5 linked regions of the Macaca fascicularis genome follow. The main gene of each other region encodes a partner of the protein of the gene in region 5 in a complex. Links are inferred from orthologs where the notes say so. Each region holds a gene or a part of one and is shown on either strand. Other genes may lie near its edges.

Region 1 (4,281 bases), on a different chromosome or scaffold from region 5:
ATTGCATTGTATGCAGAATCACTACCTCTTGTATAACACCATCTTCCAAGTGTATTACATGAACAGGGGAAGAAAAATGCAAACCCTTTACCAAATACCAAATACAATACATTCTTGATTATTTAAGTATGTTTTATGGGTGAAATCACATTACACAGCTCTCTAGAAGATTCCAGTGGTAGACTTATAACAAGGCTTTGTTCAAAAGGATAACTTGCTACAGACTATGTTTTCATTCTGCATAGGAGGAAACGTGGAGATCACCATTCTTTAGTAAAATCAAAGGTTTTAAAATGACCAAATGAAAGAAGTGCTTCCACACTGGCTTATACAATTAACACCCTATTTCAAAAACGTCTCTACCTATAAACTTCCAACAAAGAAATATCACAGAAGGGAACAAAGCCAGACAGCAGGGCAAACTCTTGCCAGCAACTCCTACCGGTAACAGATAATACTACCTTTTGTAACTAACCTGTTCTGTTTCGTTAGGTGAGCCAGATTTTTTTTTTTTTCTGTTTGTAGTGATTGCTGCCTTTTGAATCACCAATGATGACATTAAAAATAGTTATAGTTATACTCTGTGTTGCTTTAATGAGATGTGCATTTTTTCCCTATGGACTAAAGCTTGAGAGATTGTGTTCTGTGTTCAAAAGAGCTCTAATTTATGAAGCCAATGAAACTGGCTTTGAATTCTAGGCTCTGCTGCCTGCAACCTGTGTGAGTCTTAGAGAGCAATTTTTTTTTTTTTTTTTTTTTTTAGACAGAGTTTCATGCTTGTTGCCCAGGCTGGAGTGCAGTGGTGTGATCTCAGCTCACTGCAACCTCTATCTCCCGGGTTCAAGCGATTCTTCTGCCTCAGTCTCCCAAGTAGCTGGGAGTATAGGTGCCTGCCACCATGCCCAGCTAATTTTTTTTTTTTTTTTTTTGTATTTTTAGTAGAAACAGGGTTTCACTGTGTTGGCCAGGCTGGTTTCAAACTCCTGACCTCAGGTGATCCACCTGCCTCGGCCTCCTAAAATGTTGGGATTACAGGTATGAGCCACCACACCCGGCCTTAGAAAGTAATTTGACCTTTCCAAGTCTTAGCATCTTCATATATAAACTAGGGCTAAACATCCTACCCTCCATGGGTAATCACTGAGGTCTAATAGCCTTACTTAGCATATATTTAGTACTCTGTGATATTAGCTCTTCTTAAAAAACAATCTTAAGTTGAAAGAAACAAGATGGTTTGACATATTATCCAGTGAATATAGCAATATGGAAGTGGAGTGTAGCAGGATCTTTACCTACTATTTTTTTCTGGACGTTTTATTTTTCGTAATGCAACCAAAAATTGTAATAATTATTTTGGAGAGCTGTGCAACCATGGTGACTCAACCTTGTACTCAGTTGAAACTGATAATGATCATCATTGTTGCAGAGTAGTAGTAGTAAAATGGCTACCACTGATTGAATGCTTAGGGCACGCCAACTACTATATTAGGTGCTTTGTACACATTACTAAAAATGACATTATTAATGACTTTATTGATTAATGCTATTAATAATGACAGCTAACACTGAATAGCTCTTATATAAGAGGTAACAGGCTAACTGCTTTATGGACATCATCTTGTTTAATCTTCACAGTAACCTTATGAAATCGATACTATTATGTCCCATTTTATAAATGAGAAAGCTGGAGCTTCAGAAAGCTGAGTAACTTGTCCAAGAATCCCCAGCTAGGAAGAGGAATAATCAAATTTCTTTTTGATTCCAAACCTTTCACCACACCATAGAGCATAACTTTTATATGAAGCATATTGTTCATAGCATATTGTATGAATTCTTGAAGTTACGTGCATTTGTTTTCACTACTTACGGACTCTTCTCATTGGGTTGGTTCAGTTTTCCAACCTGTTGGAATTCTAATTCTGGCTTTTGTTATTAAAGTTGGAACTATCCAGAACACTCCCTACTGTCAGTGTAACACTCCAGAATTATGTGTGTTTTACCTTGGACACGTTTATTTTCAGTGCCTTCTTTTGAGCTAATGATAAAATACTAGATAAACCTGAGCTAAGTTTGGACTATTTCTTCCAACACACATCATTTCCCCAATCATTTTGAATAAATGTATGTGTGTCTGTGCATGTGTGTGTGTTTGTGTGTCTTCAAAAATCAGGTGGTTAAAGGCCTTTGGATTGTCTGCTACTTTCAGTCACCGTTGTCACCCCTCCTTGACATTATCACACAGCAGTACGATGTATAACATTTCTGTGGCACATTATGTCCTCAGACACTTCAGGCACTGTTTTCCTGACCAAATCTGTGAACAAAGGGCCAACTGGTGGGAATGATGTGGCATGCTAAAAACTCATGTGTGTTTTAACTGCTTGTGATTTTGCTGTGGTAAAATGGCCCAAGACATAGTCTGAAGAATCAGTCTTTTAGGAACTTAAAACTCAGTCTTGCCCTCTGTGAGTTTTCATGAGTAAGCCCCAAGCCTCTTTGATTGGTATTTTTCTATACTTCAAGTACTCTGCCAATCTAGTCAGGCTATTAGAGAGTCAAACAAAGTTCCAGCAATGGGTTACACTGGAGGGGAGTTAGGACCACTAGAATTTGATGCATAGTATGTTGAATATGAATTTCTATCATGTGCTTGGTCAGAGACACAAACATTTTACCTTCAGAAAGGATTTTAGTTAACTTCCTTTTTTTTTGAGACAGGGTCTCATTCTATCACCCAGTCACCTAGGCTGGAGTGCAGTGGCACAATCTCAGCTCACTGCAACCTCTGCCTCCTGGGGTCAAGTGATCCTCCTGCCTCAGCCTCCCTAGTAGCTAGGACTACAGGCATGCACCACCACGTCCACCTAATTTTTGTATTTTTAGTAGAGACAGGGTTTCACCATGTTGGCCAGGCTGGTCTTGAACTCCTGACCTCAGGTGATCCACCTGCCTCACCCTCCCAAAGTACTGGGATTACAAGCATGAGCCAATGTGCTCTGCTAGTTAACTTCCTCTTAACAACATGTAATTAGTCTAATTATATTAGTCTCTAGTAGGTTGGAGAAGGACTCACGTATAAAATTGTCCCTGCCAAACTGACAAAAAGTCATGTTCTCCTCTTTATACAGTTGTTGCTAATGCTCAGTTTCAAAGTTACAATCAAGTAAACAACCCCCAAACAGGTTCACAGTAAGGGCATGAGAAACTGAGCATGAGCTTCAATGTGAGCCTTGGTTTGGGTTTTTGCATCTTAGTTTTACTGCTGTTTGACTTGTATGACTTGGGGCAGGTTGCTTAACTGCTCTCAGCCTCAGCTTCCCCATGCTTGAAGTGAGAATGTCCTCTTCTGAGGATGGCCACAGAGTTCAATGGGAGAAAGCACAGAGCCTGATCACATTGTTTTGATGGTAATATGGGGAGAGATGATCTTCAGAAGTTCTCCCTGAGAATGGTCTTGGGTCAGAAGGAGGCTCAGGATCGTGCTTAATTTACAGGTGAGGCTGAGGGAGATAAGTGATTTCCCTGATTTCACAGGACTTGAATTTAGGGAGACAGCTCAATCTTAGCACCTGGTTCCCTTTCTGTAAGACCTGTGGGAAGGGTCTAGCTGATAGGCTGGCAGGTGGCTTCTGAGCAGCTGTATGAGTGAATTCTGAACTCAATCACCCCATTCCAAATGCATAATCTGATGCCTGTGCCAAAAAGCCATCTTAGGTCACCTTGGGGTTTAGGTGTGATTATGAGATGCCTTGGATACTTACGCTACTTTACCAGGCATGTAAAGAAGCAGAGGAACAACAGGAGAATTCTCATTGCCATAGATAATGAATCCCATTTCCTGCAGTCTTTGTCTGAAGTATCTTGTGTTTTTCGCAAGTTGCCGTACTCTCTGCAACCCTGAAAAGAGACAGGCGTGAAATCCATCAATTTCCGCTAGAAAGAGGGAAGTAAAGTTCAGGTCAACTTGGCAAGCATCTCTAAGTCTTTCTGCAGGTCAGCAGCACTAGCTGGGAGGAGGAAGTAGGGAAGGGAGATATCTCCTGGGGAGTAGGTGTGGGCACTGATGCCCAGGTACTGCACTGAACCTGGAAGGCAGGAAGAGAGGTAGATGATGCTGTGAGGTGCTGCAAGCAACTGAAGCCAGGCTACGCTAGAAGGCCAGTGGGAGGCAGGGGAGGTACCTATTTTTTATAGACTCTGTGCAAAGTACCTTAAAAACACCAACACGAGAGAAGGGAGTGTTATTAGAAGTAACATAACCACTTCCCCCCACCCCCCATG
Region 2 (4,774 bases), on a different chromosome or scaffold from region 5:
ACTTATCGCTTATTCCTCTGTAAGCCACATAGCACTTGTTATCGTAGCTATCCTTATTCAAACCCCCTGAAGCTTTTCAGGCGCAGTCACTTTACATCAACTTCGGCAGTATCAAAATTGTCTGTTGCAACGCAAAAGTCACAGGGAATACACTGCTAGAAATACCATGTCTAGGTGTGGCTAGAATAAAAACAGAATCACTTGTGAGTTTTGTGCACTTACCACGCGCGCCTCTTTCCTTATCACTAGAGCTAGAGGCTCTTTTCCATGTAGTTTTGTGGGTGACTTGACAATTTATGAAAATTTAACTTCTATGCTCAGAATTTTTTTTTCTTTACCATACACAACACATCAAAATTCCATGTGGGGTGGGTATGAGGAGGATTCTTTTCTACTCTGACTCTCCTTCAGGAAGCCCACAGGGGAGACTTCATCCCACACTTCAGAAATACTTGTGCTATTCTGCAGCAACTCACACAACCCTCATATGAACATTCAAACTCCAGCAGCCGCTCAGGCTTCCTCTAACCATCTATTTGCAAGACTGCTGTTGACTCCTAGCAAAGTATCCAAGACATAATATGGTCTTCATTTGGGTACTGACTTTATTTCTAGATTTCCCCATATTTTGCCTACCCTGATATTTCATTCCCCTTGATTTCCTTACATTACAGAAAATGCTTTAACACACATAGTTGAGCCACCAAAAATCCTTTCTGGAAGGACAGAGCAACTATAATCACATACTCAATAATTAAAACAGATTTAATTTCTTACCTTGACTGTAAGATCAGATCGTTCTTGTAATTTGTAAGTCTTAGAGAAAAGAAGTCTGATTATCCAGAGTATCAGAATCCCTTCCAAAATAAGATGGTAAGCAGGAGCCTAAGAGTGAGTCAAATACAAGTAAGAAATGAACCATACACTTCTAACACCTGCACATAAAATTTACTACACCTGCATATACTGCCGCCTATGACTTTTAGCCTATTCGTAACAATTTACTTTAGAAGCTCCCTTAATTTCTATTCATTCCTTTCCCCATTTCTAATAGCAGGCGATTTCTCCTTCACATGAAAAACCCCTAATATTTTTAGCTTTTAAAACTTCTTTGGGAATAAAAATTTAAAAAATAAAATCTAGGCCGGGCGTAGTGGCTCATACCTGTAATCCCAGCACTTTGGGAGGCCGAGGTGGGCAGATTACCTGAGGTAGGAAGTTCGAGACCAGCCTGACTAACATGGAGAAACCCTGTCTCTACTAAAAATACAAAATTAGCTGGGTGTGGTGGCGCACGCCTGTAATCCCAGCTACTTGGGAGGCTGAGGCAGGAGAATCGCTTGAACCCAGGAGGTGGAGGTTGTGGTGAGCCGAGATCATACTGCTGCACTCCAGCCTAGGCAACAGGAGCAAAACTCCATCTCAAATAAATAAATAAATAAAATCTAACACAGAATCCCAATATTTAAAACAATATCAACTATCAGATTATTTAATTTCAGTGGTTATTTCTTTTTTGGGTACACTATACAAGATACTCATATTCTACATTCAATGTGCATAGGAATTGGGAGTAAGAAGTTTATTTTTATCAATTTTAAAATTTGCTCATCCCCCTAAATACAATTCATTTATGAATGTCTAAATACCCTTTTAGTTTTCTCAATAGTTGGATTCTAGCAAGCAAACATCTACCCAAGCCACTAGTTAAGAGTTCACTCCAAAAAGAAATCACCTAAGTTGAGAAACTATTTGTCTAGTGAATAAAAATCACAAACGCCCCTTCTTTTCCTTCCCAGGAAATGTTACATAAAGGAGTTCTCCCAAGTCTCACTGCTGGACAGTTTTGGGGAATGAAAAGTTACATTACTGTCAATCTTCAAAAAGGAAGCAAACAACATTTAACAGAAAATAATCCATTTCTTTAAAAAATCATTTATAAAAAAGATTATTCAATTTTAGTGACTCATTTTAGGTCACTATAATTAATCTAATATTGGGCATCACTTAATATATGAGCATAAGACAGAGCCATATCTGCTGTCTCTGCTATGTTTCAAGATAAAATTTCCAGTATGTCCTGCAATGGAAGACACCATCATTACCCCTACCAGTAGACAGTGATATGAAGTTTGGTGACACTAAGTCATTAAAAGTAACGTGAAATTCACTTGAAATGAATGTAAGCTCTATAGGCACAGGCACTTTTGCCTATTTGTTCACCGCACTATCCCTAGCATCTAGACTTGTGTGGTCCAATGTGGACAGTCACTAAGTTACATGGGGCTATTTAAGTGAAATTTAAAATTCAGTTGCAGCTGGGTGTGGTGGCTCATGCCTGTAATCCCGGCACTTCGAGAGGCCAAAGCAGGAGGACTGCTTGAGGCCAGGAGTTCGAGGCCAGCCTGGGCAACATAGCAAGTACCCCGTCTCTATTTAAAAAATAAAAATAAAAAGATTACTTGGGTGTGGTGGTATCTGGTCCTAGCTACTTGGGAGTCTAAGGCAGGAGAATCGCTGGAACCTGGGAGGCGGAGGTTGTAGTGAGCCGAGATCGCGCCATTGCACTCCAGCTTGAGCAACAATAGCGAAATTCCGTCTCAATAAATAAGTATCTACTAAACTAGTTGTATCTTTATAAGATAGAAAACTGACGTGCGCAGAAGAATGACAAACTATTTCTTATTCACAGATCCTAAATCACTTGGTTTCTTTTCGACAAAAACAAACTCCAATTTATTACAATTTTATTCCCCAACGAACTGTTCCATAGTTCCAAAGAACTGACTTCCTCAGGACGTTCCCAGACCAAGGTTTTCCACTCATTTTCACCACTTCGTTTTATCGTCCGTCTAAACTCTGGTTTTTGCAGACCTGTCTCCTGCGACCCCTTACACATGTTCCTTTCCTGACCCTCCAGGGGACCCGGAGCATAAGAACTCAAACCGAGACCCTCGGTCCCAGCCCCCACCCGTTCCTCCCTACACTCAACCGCTGGGAATAGAAGCTCCCGGCAGTCCTTCCAGCAAGAGACGCCGAGTCTGGGCGTGACCGAGCCAGTCCCGCCGAGGTCCCAGGCCACAAATCCACACGCGCCGTCCCACCCTCCCCAGGCCCGGGTGTGGTCGCGGACCGCTCACGGCGCGGAGCCCACCTCGTAGAGTGCCTGAACCATCTCCACCAGGACCCACTGCTCCGTGGCGGTCGCCATAGTTAACCGCTTCCTTACGGAAGGCGGGTCACAAACACGTTTTAAAAGTGCGCGTCGCCGCTCAGTGACGTCTTCGCCTCCGAGGAGGGCGGGGCGGTGGAGCGCTGGGCACCGCCTCCTCGCACTCGCGCACTGGTTGAGGGGAGGCTGGGAGGGGTCGGGTGGGATTCCGCAAAATTCTTCCAGGGATTGTTTACCTTGTGTCCATTACGCACTCTGCTGGATTTGGGATGGAGAAAGTAGTAATGAACGGGCCTTACCCTTGGCCATCAGTTGGGCGCAGAGTATTAAAATGATTGAAATACGTTTACTTTTTTTTTTTTTGAGACGGAGTTTCGCTCTTGCCCAGGCTGGAGTGCAATGGCACGATCTTGGCTCACCGCAACCTCAGCCTCCCGGGTGCAAGCGATTCTCCTGCCTCAGCCTCCCGAGTAGCTGAGATTAGAGGCGTGCGCCACCACGCCTGGCTAATTTTGTATTTTTAGTAGAGACGGGGTTTCTCCATGTTGGTCAGGCTGGTCTCAAACTCCCGACCTCGGGTGATCCGCCCGCCTGGGCCTCCCAAAGCGCTGGGATTAGAGGCGTGAGCCACCGCGCCTGGCCAATACGTTTACGTTTAGTAACATAAGTAATCCAGGAATGCATTATCATTAAGAAATGCATAATTATACACAAAAATAGCCAACTCAAATAGCACTTCTATTTGTCAGACACAGGCCAAGGCTTTGCAGGTATTAAATCTATAGCAGTTTGGTGCAGAACCTTTTGGAGCCTTACAATGCATATGCAAGCAGTATGCACGCACACATACTTAATTGGATTGGATTTCTTAAATATGATTGAGATCATAGGGACAATACTCTTCTACAACTTACTTTTTTTTTTTTCCCAGCATTTTTTCCCCTAATATATCTCGTATTTAATGGCTGAAGACTTTAATGGAATAATTTATGTATATTTCTCGTTCCATTTTATTTAAACATTTACCTATTGGTGAATACTTATGTTGTTCCCACCTTTCCTCTCTTACAAATAATGCTGCCATAACTGTCGATGTTCCTCCTATGTATATCTTTCTGTGCATGTTGGAGTTTTTCTGACTGGTTTCTTCAAAATGGAATATATCTAAAGACTATGCACGTTATTAATTTTGATAAGTACTGCCAAAATGGCTCAACCAATTAAAATAATTTGAAAGTTTTTCCATGCTGTAGTCCATGATGGATATTATCAATCTTTTAAAAAAATTTGCCAGTTTAATGGAGATAAAATGATACCTCACTAACCTTCATTATTGATGCTTCTGGTTACTCATGAGGTTGCGCAGCTTCTTATATATTTAGTGGCATTTATAGACTGTATGAATCGCCAATTAATATTCTTAATCCATTTTTCTATTGGTTATTTTTGCTTTCTTATGGATTTATAGGAACTCTATACATTCTGCATATCTTACATTTTTCTGTTTCCTATGTGAAAACTATTTTTGCTCAGTTTCCACCTAGTGGTTTCTGCTCTTTCATCATACTTTAATTTTAAATTTTATGCAGTGCTTCAGTCTGT
Region 3 (4,480 bases), on a different chromosome or scaffold from region 5:
TCTGGGACTTTGTGCCTCTCCTGAGAATAGCAGCTCATACTGCGCAGAACACACTGGAAGGTCAGTGCCCTCGTGAGATAAGGATTCCTTGCTATAGGACTCCTCTCTCCTAGCCATGGTGGCCTCAGAAAGTCCCCAGAACCTCTTCCCCTGCCACTCAGGCTTATGGTGGGAGCAGGAAGTATGAAAAGTCCCCTCCACTGAAAGGCCAGAAGGAAACACAGCACTCCCAGGGGAGAGGTGACTGGGGAAAGGCCTTGGGGAGAGAAGTGAGAAACTGGAGAAGGGCTGGGGATTTACTGGGAAGGACTGGGCACTGCTTGGGACCCTGGTTCCATGTGTAAACCATTGCCGGACTGCCCCCCTCCCTGGCCACGGCACAGGTCACCCCAGCCTGTGGGGTCAAGGCGCAAGACCAGTCGGAGAACAGCCAGGCAAAAGCACAGAGAATTTTGCTCTCTGACTACTGCTGCCGTCGCTGCCAGTTCCCTCACAGCCCCCTTGGGGGATTTCCCTGCTGAAGCCAGCAGAAAGCCCAGCAGTCCCAGCGCCCCTCCCGCCACCGTCAGAGCTGCACTGATACCCCACCAGCACCTCAGCCGGAGCTGTGCCCACACCCCTGCCCCCTCCCCTCAGCCTTCCAGGAAGCAGAGACCAGACACAGGGAAACAGGAACATGTTGCCCTTTTATTTGCGTTTCTCAGAATACTGTACAAAGGGAGTAAAAATCCTATTCACACTTTGCTTAGAAAGATTTTAAGGTGAAAGTTCCCTATGATACATGGGGTGGGAGATGCAGGGCCAGGAGGCAGAAAACAGGCCCAGTGACCTCTCCTGCTCCCTCAGGCCCCTGGAAGAGGACACAGGGACCCACGCCTTTTCAAAATTAACACTGTCCCTAGTCGAACTGGGGAGGGAGGAGGCCCCGGCCCAGGCTCAGGCTCCCGGCCTCACTTTCTTCTCTGCAGGCTGAGACAGTGCCTACAGGCCACGCCTTGCTCCTTCCTCTGTGCTGCTTGAGCAGGGATCCTACAGGACTCTCACCACCGACCCCACGTGGGGTGGCCTCACAGCGCCACATGTGCCTGCCACATAAGAGGCCCTGCCCAGTGCCAGTCTGCATGAGGAAGCTAAGGGGTGAGGGCCTGCAGAGGACCACAGCATCCATTGTTTCTGTCACAGCTTCCCCGTACCCCTGCGGGAGTCAGGGCCAAGTTGGACCTGTGCTTACAATGACTCATGGGCCTTTTCCCCACCTGTCCACCCAACAGCCAACCCAGGAGTTAAGCCCACAGCAGCCTCCCTCCCCTATTACTATCACATTCTGTGGGTAAATCAACGCTCCAAGCCTGCTTCCCTCCCTGCCCACATCCCAAAGGAGACTGGGTCTAGCTCGTGTCCCTACCCCTCCCTCCCTTACACCAGTCCTCTGCTGCTATGTGGCCCCATTCTTCTAAGTCTCGACTCATTAACCCCCTACAGCTCCCCAACCTCCACCAGGCCAGGATGGCAGCAACCCTGGCCCCTCACCTCTGGGACCAAGCCATCCACACTCCACCCCATCTCCCCCCACCTGACCCTCCCCACTCCCACCCAGGGCCCCGGGTGCGCTGCAGGGAAGCTGCCAAAAGCCTGAGACTTGGATCAGACAGCTCTCTACCCAGAAGGGCAAGGCCCCATCCCACACTTGCTTCCATACACAAAAGCACACACTGCGTGTCATCGAAAAAACCTAGGAATCACAGTGACACAATCCAGAAGCCGTACCGCCCTCCGCTCCCTCCACAGGGGTTAAAGTGCTTTGGCTGCCTGAGGGCAAACAAGTGAGCAGGGGTTTTTCCCCTGGCCTCCTGTCCCAACTGCGTGGTCCATGTTCAGCCCAGGAGCCAAGCCCATTCCATGACCACCTCCATGGAGTCTCTATCCAAAAAGCAAAAGGAAAAGATCAAAAACTTCAGAAAAAGTCAGAGCCCGGGGGGCCTACCCCAACCCCACTACAAGCTACTCCAAGTTGGCTACTGGGGGAAGCCAGGGGGGAAACTAGGCCCAGAGGCTCAACCCCCATCTCTGGCAGTGTCCAGAGGCTTCTTCTTTCTGTCTTCAGTGTCGCAGCACATGCCTTTTACCCTACCCCTCCCCTGCCACCCTGGGCAGGGGAAGGGGCTGCACCCTCAGTACTTATTGATTCCAAAAATCCGGACTCCGTGGAGCTGGGGCAGCTTGGGGATGAGCACGCTCATCAGAGACACAGTGTTGAGGACGAAGTGGATCTGGTCGTACTTAGTGTAGAAGCTGGTGAGGAAGTACCTGGGAGGGGAAGGGTGAGGAGAGAGATAAAAGACTGTTGGGAGGACCCCTTCCTCCCTCACTTCCTGTGTAGGGAAAGGCAGAATCCTGACGGCTAAGGAGTTACAGAAGAGGTCCCCAGACCAGAGTAAGAAGCAAGAGCTCTCAGGCTAAAAAGGCCCCTCCCGGCCCAGCGGGGCCCCCACCTCCCAACTTCACCCCAAGCCTGTGGGCCTATCTCACTAGCAGGAAGAAAGCTCCAATGGAGGAAAGACGGGGCCAGGGAGGCCCAAAGCCTGAGCTCAGTCTAAGACCCAGGAATATTCCAACTTCCTCTGTTCATCCCTACACCAGGAGCCACAGCAGGGTTAATAAGCATGACTGGGCCCTGGGGTCCTCCAGGCCTTGCCCTGCCTGCTGGTGTCTTCCTGTAGCCCAGGCACTCACAACACGATGGGTGTGATGGTCAAGAACTTCCGAGAGGCCGTGAACTGGACCCCATAGTCCATCTGCTCCCAGTGGGTTAGCAGCCTCGCCTTGCCCTGGTCCGGGGTCTCAAAGGGTGTCCCCTTCACCGTGTGCAGGAAGATATACATGCCCTGGAGGACGAGGTCTTTGTTAGAGGATACAAAAGGGAAAAGGGCCCCCTGCCCAGTTCCTCCACCCAGTCACAGACAGAAGTAACTCCCAGTGATCTGGAGCCTCCCTCTGCTGGGCAGGGGGATGTGGGCTGGAGGTCAGGAAGAAGCTGGGAGCCTGGCAGGAGAAGAACAAGGGGACTCCCTGGGGGACAGGCTAGGCCTGGCACGAGAATGCGTAGCCACGAGACAGGCACCGAGATGCTGCCCCTCCAGGCCACTCATAGCCCCCTGTGCCTGCTGGGAGGAGGCAAGCAGATGGGACTAAACCCTGCTTACCCTCCAAAGAGGGCAAGGTAGCAAGTGGTGAGGGAGCAGAGAAGGGCAAGAGTAGAAGACGGTTCGAGAAGCTAACTTGAGAAAGGGGCATTTCTGTACCAGCCTAGGCACCAGGACTCCCGGGTCCTAGGAACTCTCTGGAGTCCTTTGTTTAGCTCTCAGGGGCACATCTTCCAGGCCCACAGCCACCCCACCTGAGAGATGTGGAAAAATCTGCAGATTTGATTCTTATCATGGTACACAGGGCAGGAACCCAGAAGGGGGAGCAAGGCAGAGAGATAAGGACTAGGCCTGGGCTCTGGAGGCAGACGTCAGTACGTCACCCTGACATCTGGGCCAGGCCCAACAGGCTCCTCCTATCCCTCAGCCCTGCCAAAGAGCAGCCCAGAGGGCAGGAGCAGGCAGCAGGCAGGCTCTCACCATGTTGTGGATGAGGTTGGTGAGGGTCCAGACGACAGGCACACTCACGAAGGGGATGCTCAGCAGCACAACGTGGAGGAGCCCGATGGCCAGCACGTAGGAGAGCCAGATGCCACGGCTGTTCATCACCCGCGTGTTGGGGTTCACCTCGCTGTGCGCTGTGCCCACATTCATCCTGCTGCCCCTCTCCACTGTTCTGCAAACAAGCAGCACAGGTCAGACAGGTCACACTGCTTTCCCTGCCCCCTCTCACCCTCGGATCCCACTGGGAGGCAGGCTCTTCCTTCCCTGAGAACTCCAGGCAGTTCCACTCTTTTGATTCTCAAGCATGGAAGGTGGAGAAAGTCCATGTGGACTTAGCTCTACTCATTTCCTGCTGCTGGGCTGGGATAAACAGCAGGCTGCCCCACGCATTATCCCATTGGGACAGGGCCCTGGCAGGGCATTGGAGGACAGGTCATCAAGAGGCATGCAGCCCAGAGCAGAGAAGTCAAGGCCCATCCCCCAGCCTCACCCCCTATGGCACTCCCATGAGGACCCTCTGCCGACAAAGCCCCAGAGACAGAATTCTCACTCAGCACAACCCCTGCTGGACTGTGTCTCACTGAGGGCCTGATGTGGGACATCCACTCTTAAGCCCTTCCCATCAGGAGGGAAAGAAGTGAGGCCTGTGGGTACAGGCAGCAGTGGACGAACTATTTTGAGGTCACTGCATCCACTCACCTCCTCTAATTTTTTCAATTCTGGATCTCCCCAAACCCCAACTTAGGAGGACTGATCAGGTACAAAGAGGGAAGTGGGGAGGGAGGAAGATAGAAGAAAACAACAGACTAGCGACAACCTTTGCCCGGACCTGG
Region 4 (4,281 bases), about 43 Mb from region 5:
TCCCTGCTCCTGTACACTGCCCAGCAAATTCTAGCCCCCGCAGCCTCCCCAGCTCTGATCTCAACGGACAGCTCTCCACTCCAATCTCAGATGTCCTCAGCTGGCAAGACTGGGCCCTCCTTCCCTGTGCAGCAGCCTGTGGCCTGCCTTCAGGCAACGCAGTCTGGCACTCCCCGTGGCTCAGTGTCTAAAAGTCATTGTTTATGTACTTTGTCCAGTTTCCTATTGTTTACAGCAGGAAGGTAAATCCAGTCTCTAGTACTCCATGACTGAAAGAAGTCTCATCTTCTAAATGTAGATTAAGCAGGTATTGATATTTCTAGGGGGAAATTAGGGTACTTGGCTCATCAGTTCCCAACATACTTAAATATAACACACTTTAATATCTGCTTTCTTCTTTGTAACTTAAATGATGACATAAATGATGCTCTTCAGTGTTCACACGAGGCTAATCTAAGCTTGAGTGTTTTTCTCTGATCAACTTGAAATTATCTGCATAAAGAGTATTAATTTTGACTTATTTGTGGCCAACTTATCTAGAGTAGCTTCCCATGAATGATGGATATGTTAGTATTCCAATTCTAAGGACATTTGTTAGCTATCTGTATGTCTGGCTAATTTGTCATAAGAACTTATGTATCATGTTTGGATTTTTAAAAATAAGAACTTTGGCTGGGCATGGTGGCTCACGCCTGTAATCCTAGCACTTTGGGAGGCCGAGGTGGGCAGATCACAAGGTCAGGAGATCGAGACCATCCTGGCTAACACGGTAAAACCCCGTCTCTACTAAAAATACAAAAAATTAGCCGGGCGAGGTGGTGGGCGCCTGTAGTCCCAGCTACTTGGGAGGCTGAGGCAGGAGAATGGCGTGAACCTGGGAGGCGGAGCTTGCAGTGAGCCAAGATTACGCCACTGCACTCCAGCCTGGGCGACAGAGCAAGACTCCATCTCAAAAAAAAGAAAAAAGAAAAAAAAATTGCTGATTTTATAATCTATATATGAAAATTACTGCAGCCTTTTTTATTCATGAGTATTTATGGTTGAGAAGATTCTAAAATAGTTCTTAGCCTTTTACAAGTGGATCTTTTAAATTTATTGCATTGCTCTGTATAACAGAACAATTATTTGGATATCTTTTCAAAGATCAATTTACCATAATGTCAAAACCTGCCCAATTATTTAGTCAGTTCGCAGTTACAGAAATGTGCGTTTTAATCCATTTGTGTTTTAGGGAAGATGAGCACAATAGGATTAAAGATACGACTTTATACTGTTACAAATATGCTACTGCTGTCTGATTAGAGTTTTAAGGAAACAGGCAGGGTGCAGTGGCTCACGTCTGTAATCCCAGCACTTTGGGAGGCCAAGGTGGGCGGATCACTTGAGGTTAAGCGTTCGAGACCAGCCTGGCCAACATGGCGTAACCCTGTCTCTACTAAAAATACAAAAATTAGCTGGAAGTGGTGGTGTGCGCCTGTAACCCCAGCTATTCAGGAAGCTGAGACAGGAGAATTGCTTGAAGCCGGGAAGCAGAGATTGCAGTGAGCTGAGATCGTGTCGTTGCACTCCAGCCTGGGCAACAGAGCGAGATGCCGTCTCAAAAAAAAAAAAAAAAAAAAAAAAAATTGTAAGGAAACAACAAAATGAAACTCAGAAGATGAAAATTTGAGGGACTAAATTGCTTCATCTCTGGTCTCATGTGTAAAATTTATTTGCATCACAGTTGATTGGAATGAATCTTAAAGTTAGAAGACGTAAATTCTAGTTGAAGCTGTGCCACTTGCTACTTGTAATGTGGCACCTACTGTTGTGCAACTGTAGGCATGTCACCACCTTGGTGAGAGTCTCTTGACCTATCATATGAAGATAATCATAAATACCCTGCCTACTGTCAAGGGATTTGTGGAGTGCTCAGTGAGGGGGTATGGCTGAAATTCTTTGAGGATGCTAACGCTCCATTAAACGTTTTTTACATTATTATAACTTCTGCTGTTAACAGGTAGAATGACAGAATACAAAATGAGACATTTTACATTTATAGTCCTTTCAGTTTACTGTGTAAAATATTTTATGGTGAAATGGGAAAAAACGAAACAGAACTGATTAGGTAGAATGGAGATAGAGGAGATTGCTGTCTTTTTTTCCATTCCTTTTTACTTAATATTATTTTGTTTTCTCTCACCACGACTTTGCAGGTAAAGAGTGTGTACAGCAGTTAGCCGAAAACACCAGGTATTTCAGGAGACGCCTGAAGGAGATGGGCTTCATCATCTATGGAAATGAAGACTCTCCAGTAGTGCCTTTGATGCTCTACATGCCTGCCAAAATTGGGTATGTTTTGTTGCAGATCACAGACTAGTCTGTCCTTATACTTATCTGTGATGTGAGACTAGGGCTTATGTATTTCGTTAGGGAAAACGGTCTTGTCCTTATTGTGTTAACCTTCATTTGGTACATATGACATAGATCAAATAGTGAATTCCAAATTGTTAGGTATGTTAATTTGTTGTTCTTTCATTAAACATTTGAGTTTCATGTACTCTCTAGGGGCCTGGGATAGATCAGTGAATAAAATACAAACATCTCTGTCCTTGTAGAGCTTACAGTCTAGTAGGGGCAACAGTCAGACAGACGTAATAAATGAACTGTGTACTATGTTAGAAGGTGTCAAGTGCTATGGAAAAAAATAGAGCAGGACCTATATGGGGAGTTGAGAGTGCCCTGTGGGCGGGCAGATAACACTATTAAATAGCGTGGTCAGGGTAAGTAAGCCTCCATGGGAAGGAAAAATGATTTGAAGGAGCTGACAGTTAACCATTGGAGAAAGAAGCATCTGTGCAAAGGCCACAGTGCAGGAGCGCGCTTGCTTAGGTGACCTAAGAGTAGCAGAGAGGTCCCTAGAATTGCAGCACAGTGTCCCAGGGGGAGCAATGGGCCATGAGGTCAGAGAGATTTTATCAGAGTGTGTTTGTTACTGGATACTTGCCAGGTGTGCAGATTACACCAGCTTCTTTGGTTTGTACGAGGCATACATAATGGAAAGTCTTGCCCTACGATAGCTTTCAATGTATTTGAGAAGTCCAGATATATAATGAAACCAGAAGACATTTGAAAAGCAAATGAACAGTAATTATACTGAACAAATTTTATTATATGCAAAGTGGCCCTGCAGATGCAGAATAAAGGAGCGACCTGCTGAGTACAGGCTCAGTAAGAAAGGCACATCTCGTTGGATGGGTGAGTTTTGAGCTGGATCTTAAAGCATTTCTCCAGTTTGAACTCATTGAAGGAGCAATTTTTAAAAATTTTTTAATCCCCCGTGTCCACCACAGTCTCCAACACTCAGTAAGTGTTTACTGAAATGAAAAGGGGGAGGAAATTAAATCAGGGAGCCTGGAAGTAATGTGATTCAAAGAAAATGAAAGGGAAGTAAGGAAAAGGTCCTCCCTGAGAGAAAAAGAGGAATTCGGGTTTCAACATGAAGTCATATGGGTAGTTAGTATTATGGCTTCAGAGGGGATATGGGGAAGGATTTTCTTCATTCTTCTTTAAGTGGAATTCTCATAAACAAACACGAAGAGTTATCAGATCCAAAGGACTCAGTCTAGAGCTCTCTCTTTAAAGAAGGCTGTGTCTCCTTTATTCTATATAGGTGCAACTGACTGTGTATACTTTAATTAGGAAAGATTTAGAGAAGGTGAAGAAGAATTAGAATAAGGCACTAGACAGTTTGGGAGCCTGTGCTGAAGTTACAGGGCACCCAGGTTCATGCTGACACAACGGAGGTATGTTGAGGAAGATGTACCAGTACTACAGAGAGTGGGAAAAGGCTGAAAAGGCTGGCATTAATGTAATGCCAAATGTGCAGGATCTATATTGCCCAGGCTGGAGTGCAATGGCGTGATCTCGGCTTCCTGTAACCTCCACCTCCTGGGTTCAAGCAAATCTTGTGCTTCAGCCTCCCCAGTAGCTGGGTTACAGATGTGTGCCACCACACCTGGCTAATCTTTGTATTTTTTAGTGGAGATGGAGTTTCACCATGTTGGCCAGGCCAGTCTCCAACTCCTGACCTCAGGTGATCTGCCCAGCTCGGCCTCCCAAAATGCTGGGATTACAGGTATGAGCCACTGGCCCGGCCAGATTTTTTAATTCTCAAACAAATGCTGTAAATAGCTTAAAGGAGAAGTTAAAACATAAGGGAGGTCAACAAGAGGAAAAGACAAAGAACAACGTAATTTGGGTCTGGTGCAGTGGCTCACAAGGTCAGGAGATCAAGAGCAT
Region 5 (4,281 bases):
CAGTAACACGAGTTGGAAAGTTGATTCCAACTTTCATGGATGTCTTGGAGGGGTTCAAAACTTCAGTGAGGGAGTTAACTGTAGTTGCTAAAAATAGCAAGAGAACTATAAATGGAGCCTGACAATGTGACTGAATTACTGCAATCTCACGATAAAACTTGAACAGACAAGATTTTGCCTTTTATGGATGAGCAAGGAAAGTGGTTTCTTGAGATGGCCTATACTCCTGCTGAAGATGCTATGAACATTGTTGAAATTACAACGAAGGATTTAGAATATTTTATAAACTTAGTTGATAAAGCAACAGCAGGGTTTGAAAGTATTGATTCCAATTTTGGGGGAAGTTCCATTGTGGGCGAAAGGCTATCAAATAGCATTACATGCTACAGATAAATCTTTCATGAATGAAGAGTCGATCAATGCAGCAAACTTTATTGTTGTCTTATTTTTTAAAATTGCCATAGCCACCCCAATCTTCCGCAACTATGACCCAGATCAGTCAGCAGCCATCAACATCAAGGCAAGACCCTCCACCAACAAAAAATTATGACTTGCTGAAGGCTCAAATAATCATTGGCTTTTTTTAGCAATAGATAATTTTTTAATTAAGATAGGTACATATGGGTTTTGTTTTTGTTTTTGTTTTTGTTTTGCCATAACGCTATTGCACACTTAATAGACTACAGGATGGTGTAAATGTAACTTTTATATGCAGGGGAAAACCAAAAAACTTCATGTGACTCACTTTATTGAGATATTCACTTTATTGCAGTGGTCTGAATCTGAACCCACAATAACTACAAGGTATGCTTGTAAATACCTTATTTTAAACAAAAAGTGAAAATTATTTCCCTGTTTGTTATTTACTAACAAATAGACTAGACATTTGCATCAGACAGTGAGCATAAACTTCCCTGATCACCTCTCAAGAGACATGCTCCCATTTCTCTTTTGACTCTCCTAAAGATTTCCTGTAAGACTAAATTTTATCTTCCGTATGTCTCACAGGTCAGTGTTCATAATAACCATCAGTTATACAACAGCAATTTAATGAATTTCAGCAGAGTGAGGACAAATTGCAGGTTTCTGAGTAGAGGGCCAGGATAGGTCATCTGGATACCCATTGAAACTAATGATTCTCGACTTTTCCTGCCTTCAACTCACCACAGGAATATTAGACATCCACTTGTTAGTGGTTCTCTATGGGGGATAGTAGAGGAAAGCCAAATTTGGGCATTAATAGAACAAATCTTAAGTTAAATCCTCATATTATTTTTCTTGAGATAGTATGACCATAGCTCAGATATAACCATATCCAAGTTTTAACTACTTCAAACCAAGTAATTACATATTATTCTCACTATTCCTAATTGTGATATCAATTGACTCTAAAAATATTAAACATGTATATATTACTTGAGACCTCTAGACTATAAAATACTTCAAAAGTCTAGTCCTTAAAATGTTGGGCAAAAAATACCTCAATTTTGGCCGGGCACGGTGGCTTACGCCTGTAATCCCAGCAGTTTGGGAGGCCAAGGCAGGTGGATCAGGAGGTCAGGAGTTCAAGACCATCCTGGCCAACATAGTGAAACCCCATCTCTACTAAAGATACAAAAAATTAGCCAGGCATGGTGGTGCGTGCCTGTAATCCCAGTTACTCAGGAGGCTGAGGCAGGAGAATCACTTGAACCCAGGAGGCAGAGGTTGCAGTGAGCCAAGATCATGCTATCGCACTCCAGCTTGGGCGACAGGGTGAGACTCCGTCTCAAAAAAAAAAAAACACACACACACATAATGCCTACTTTTTTAAAATTAGCAACATTTTCATGTTGCAAGACATATAGGATAAAACATACTTACTGCTTATCTGGTCCTCCACAGAAATAATTCAGAAATGTAAATACTAGATCAATATTTAACCATTAAGGAAAAGATATACTGCTACATCAGCTGATTTTTTTCTCTTTGAATTTAATGTATTTACATCAAAAAATTAGGTAGTCATTTTACATTTAAGGAATAAAAACCTTAAAAAAAACAATACAAAGAGTGAAAAGATTTTAACCAAGTTTACATTTCTTTTTGCTATAATTTTTAACAACAATTCGTCTCATCATAACTTAATGCAATGTGCAAATGCAGCACCCATTACAATCATTAAACTAAATTTAAGGAAGTCCACTGTTAATAGTGACCCTCAGAAGAAATGGATTTCTCTTCTATTAAAAACTCTATGGTATATAAGCATTACATAATAATGCTACTTAACCACCTTTTGTCTCAAGAATTATCACCAAAGTTTTGTGGAAATAAGTCCACATAAGAATAAAATATTTAAAAGGTGAAACGTTCTTTATTTTAACTTTAGCAAGATCTTTTCTTTTTCATTAAGAAACAATTTAATAATTTTAAAGCAAAAGCTGTTAGAGTCTAGATAGCTAAAACTGTACTCCTGAGTTCAAGCTTACAGATCTTTTGTAAGTAGTTCTCAATAAAATATCTTCCCTCCCCATACCCCTACCCGAAATCTTATATTGTTCTTACAAAACTTTGGTCAAGAGTAGAAATATATCCAGGCAGATGTATATGCCATACAATAGCAAGAACAGTAAAGCCCAACTAATGATTTTGAGTTTTAAAAATAGAAGGCAATTAAAATGTACTCAAAGTCACATTAAGAAAAGCTTTCACGGGGGTAATATTGAAACAGTCACAAAGGTTAAGAAAATACTGATATCAAAGTACAAATGACTACAATGTTAAAATAGACAAAAACTGCTATACAAGAGCCTCTTTGAAAATTAAAAATAAAGAACACAACACATGAGTCAGGATGATTTTCCTGTTCTACTCATGAATTTTAGTCTTTATAAGGTTGGTTATGTTGACATCTAGAAGAGTTTCTTATCACATCTGATGGTCTCATTCCAACTTCGTAGGGTGGGTCTTCCCCAAGGAACCTCTGATCCTGCCGCATCTTGGTCATTGTACAATTTCAAAGTAGTGCAATATCGCCATGATGTGCTGGGGCATGAAGACGTATCCTGTGTATAGTGCCATCCCCACAATGGAAACCAGCATTGAATCTGAGTTGTAGTTAAGGAAACTTATTATTATTAATTTATTCAAAACTAAATCCCCACATGTTTTCAACAACTCTTTTATGATGAAGTACCCATTCACTTAGTACTTTCTCATTTATATCAAGCACTGATAAAAAAAAAAAAAACAAGAACGATAATGCTAGCTACTAACAACTATGCCTGGCACCATTCTAAGTTGGTTTTTGTTTTGTTTTGTTTTGTTTTTAGCTCATTCATCTTTACTACCACCATATAAGGTAGGTACTGTTATTCTCCCTGTGTAGTCAAAAACATCAGACTGCTTAAAATGTTTTTTTTTCTTCTCTTTTTTTTTTCTTTTTTTTCTTTTTTTGTTTTTGGAGACGGAGTTTTGCTCTTGTTGCCCAGGCTGGAATGCAGTGGCATGATCTCGGCTCACTGCAACCTCTGCCTCCTGGGTTCAAGCGATTCTCCTGTCTTAGCCTCCTGAGTAGTTGGGATTACAGGCGCCCGCCACGACGCCCAGCCAAGTTTTGTATTTTTAGTAGAGACAGGGATTCACCATGTTGGCCAGGGTGGTCTCAAACTCCTGACCTCAGGTGATCCACCAGTCTCGGTCTCCCAAAGTGCTGGGATTACAGGCGTGAGCCACTGCACCCAGCAGGACTGCTTAAAATGAAGCACAGGATGTGACACTGTTCTACCTAAGAAATAAATATACAGGAATAAAATTCTATTTAATGACTGTAAAAGATCTACCAACTTAACTAATAAGAATGTATGATCAAAGAATTTTAGAATTAGTTAGACTAGAATGTGGCTAAAAGTATTTTTAGAGTCACACAGAGCTAAAATCAATCATACACTAGCTTAGGGATATATAAAATGACAGCAACTGCTACTATCAAACGTTTATTTATTATTATCACTATTAAACATCATTATCACTATTGCTACTATTTGCAACAACTTCAAATAAAAGTCATCTTGATAACCTAAACAATAACCTTTCTGTACTGTGCTCCTTTATTACAAAAGGAACTGAAACTGCATATATGGAAGTCAACAAGAGGTCTCTCCTCTGGGGCCACACAAAATACTGCTAGCAAAAATTATGTCAAATCTAAGGGCTTTTGGCTTTGCACAGTTACATAGGATGCTAAGAGGAATAACTGCTTTTGAACTGGGGTCATGCTTTATTAATTCATTCATATTC

What was found.
Region 1: SPTSSA (region 5) and SPTLC3 share a complex: the UniProt entries of both Homo sapiens proteins name them as parts of the serine palmitoyltransferase (SPT) complex. The link is inferred for Macaca fascicularis from reciprocal best matches to the Homo sapiens genes SPTSSA and SPTLC3.
Region 2: SPTSSA (region 5) and SPTLC1 share a complex: the UniProt entries of both Homo sapiens proteins name them as parts of the serine palmitoyltransferase (SPT) complex. The link is inferred for Macaca fascicularis from reciprocal best matches to the Homo sapiens genes SPTSSA and SPTLC1.
Region 3: the proteins of SPTSSA (region 5) and ORMDL3 are in contact, whole or in part, in a cryo-EM structure (PDB 7CQI), measured with the Homo sapiens proteins. The link is inferred for Macaca fascicularis from reciprocal best matches to the Homo sapiens genes SPTSSA and ORMDL3. Residues at the interface, in NP_612145.2 of Homo sapiens: Ile44, Tyr50, Thr51, Val54, Phe55; in NP_001307730.1 of Homo sapiens: Val36, Leu38, Ser39, Ile40, Pro41, Phe42, Ser44.
Region 4: the proteins of SPTSSA (region 5) and SPTLC2 are in contact, whole or in part, in a cryo-EM structure (PDB 7K0K), measured with the Homo sapiens proteins. The link is inferred for Macaca fascicularis from reciprocal best matches to the Homo sapiens genes SPTSSA and SPTLC2. Residues at the interface, in NP_612145.2 of Homo sapiens: Trp15, Tyr18, Gln19, Leu21, Leu22, Val23, Thr24, Ala25, Tyr27, Met28, Leu29, Glu30, Pro31, Trp32, Glu33, Val36, Phe37; in NP_004854.1 of Homo sapiens: Leu73, Gly77, Val80, Leu81, Phe84, Leu87, Arg88, Leu91, Leu126, Arg129, Ile130, Tyr156, Met475, Pro476, Ala477, Lys478, Gly480, Ala481, Arg484, Glu485, Asp533, Leu534, Leu535, Gln536.

The regions. Positions count from the first base shown.
Region 1 is NC_088384.1:74,212,389-74,216,669, forward strand, and holds part of SPTLC3 (serine palmitoyltransferase 3), read right to left. Parts: intron 3,898-4,281; coding exon 3,762-3,897; intron 1-3,761. UniProt on the Homo sapiens protein: Component of the serine palmitoyltransferase multisubunit enzyme (SPT) that catalyzes the initial and rate-limiting step in sphingolipid biosynthesis by condensing L-serine and activated acyl-CoA (most commonly palmitoyl-CoA) to form long-chain bases.
Region 2 is NC_088389.1:122,396,424-122,401,197, forward strand, and holds the start of SPTLC1 (serine palmitoyltransferase 1), read right to left. Parts: upstream 3,250-4,774; 5' UTR 3,212-3,249; coding exon 3,155-3,211; intron 886-3,154; coding exon 778-885; intron 1-777. UniProt on the Homo sapiens protein: Component of the serine palmitoyltransferase multisubunit enzyme (SPT) that catalyzes the initial and rate-limiting step in sphingolipid biosynthesis by condensing L-serine and activated acyl-CoA (most commonly palmitoyl-CoA) to form long-chain bases.
Region 3 is NC_088390.1:60,982,747-60,987,226, forward strand, and holds the end of ORMDL3 (ORM1-like protein 3), read right to left. Parts: intron 3,820-4,480; exon of another isoform or gene 3,815-3,819; coding exon 3,624-3,814; intron 2,886-3,623; coding exon 2,734-2,885; intron 2,308-2,733; coding exon 2,172-2,307; 3' UTR 668-2,171; downstream 1-667. UniProt on the Homo sapiens protein: Plays an essential role in the homeostatic regulation of sphingolipid de novo biosynthesis by modulating the activity of the serine palmitoyltransferase (SPT) in response to ceramide levels.
Region 4 is NC_088381.1:145,474,063-145,478,343, reverse strand, and holds part of SPTLC2 (serine palmitoyltransferase 2), read left to right. Parts: intron 1-2,195; coding exon 2,196-2,331; intron 2,332-4,281. UniProt on the Homo sapiens protein: Component of the serine palmitoyltransferase multisubunit enzyme (SPT) that catalyzes the initial and rate-limiting step in sphingolipid biosynthesis by condensing L-serine and activated acyl-CoA (most commonly palmitoyl-CoA) to form long-chain bases.
Region 5 is NC_088381.1:102,233,045-102,237,325, forward strand, and holds the end of SPTSSA (serine palmitoyltransferase small subunit A), read right to left. Parts: intron 3,090-4,281; coding exon 2,986-3,089; 3' UTR 746-2,985; downstream 1-745. UniProt on the Homo sapiens protein: Component of the serine palmitoyltransferase multisubunit enzyme (SPT) that catalyzes the initial and rate-limiting step in sphingolipid biosynthesis by condensing L-serine and activated acyl-CoA (most commonly palmitoyl-CoA) to form long-chain bases.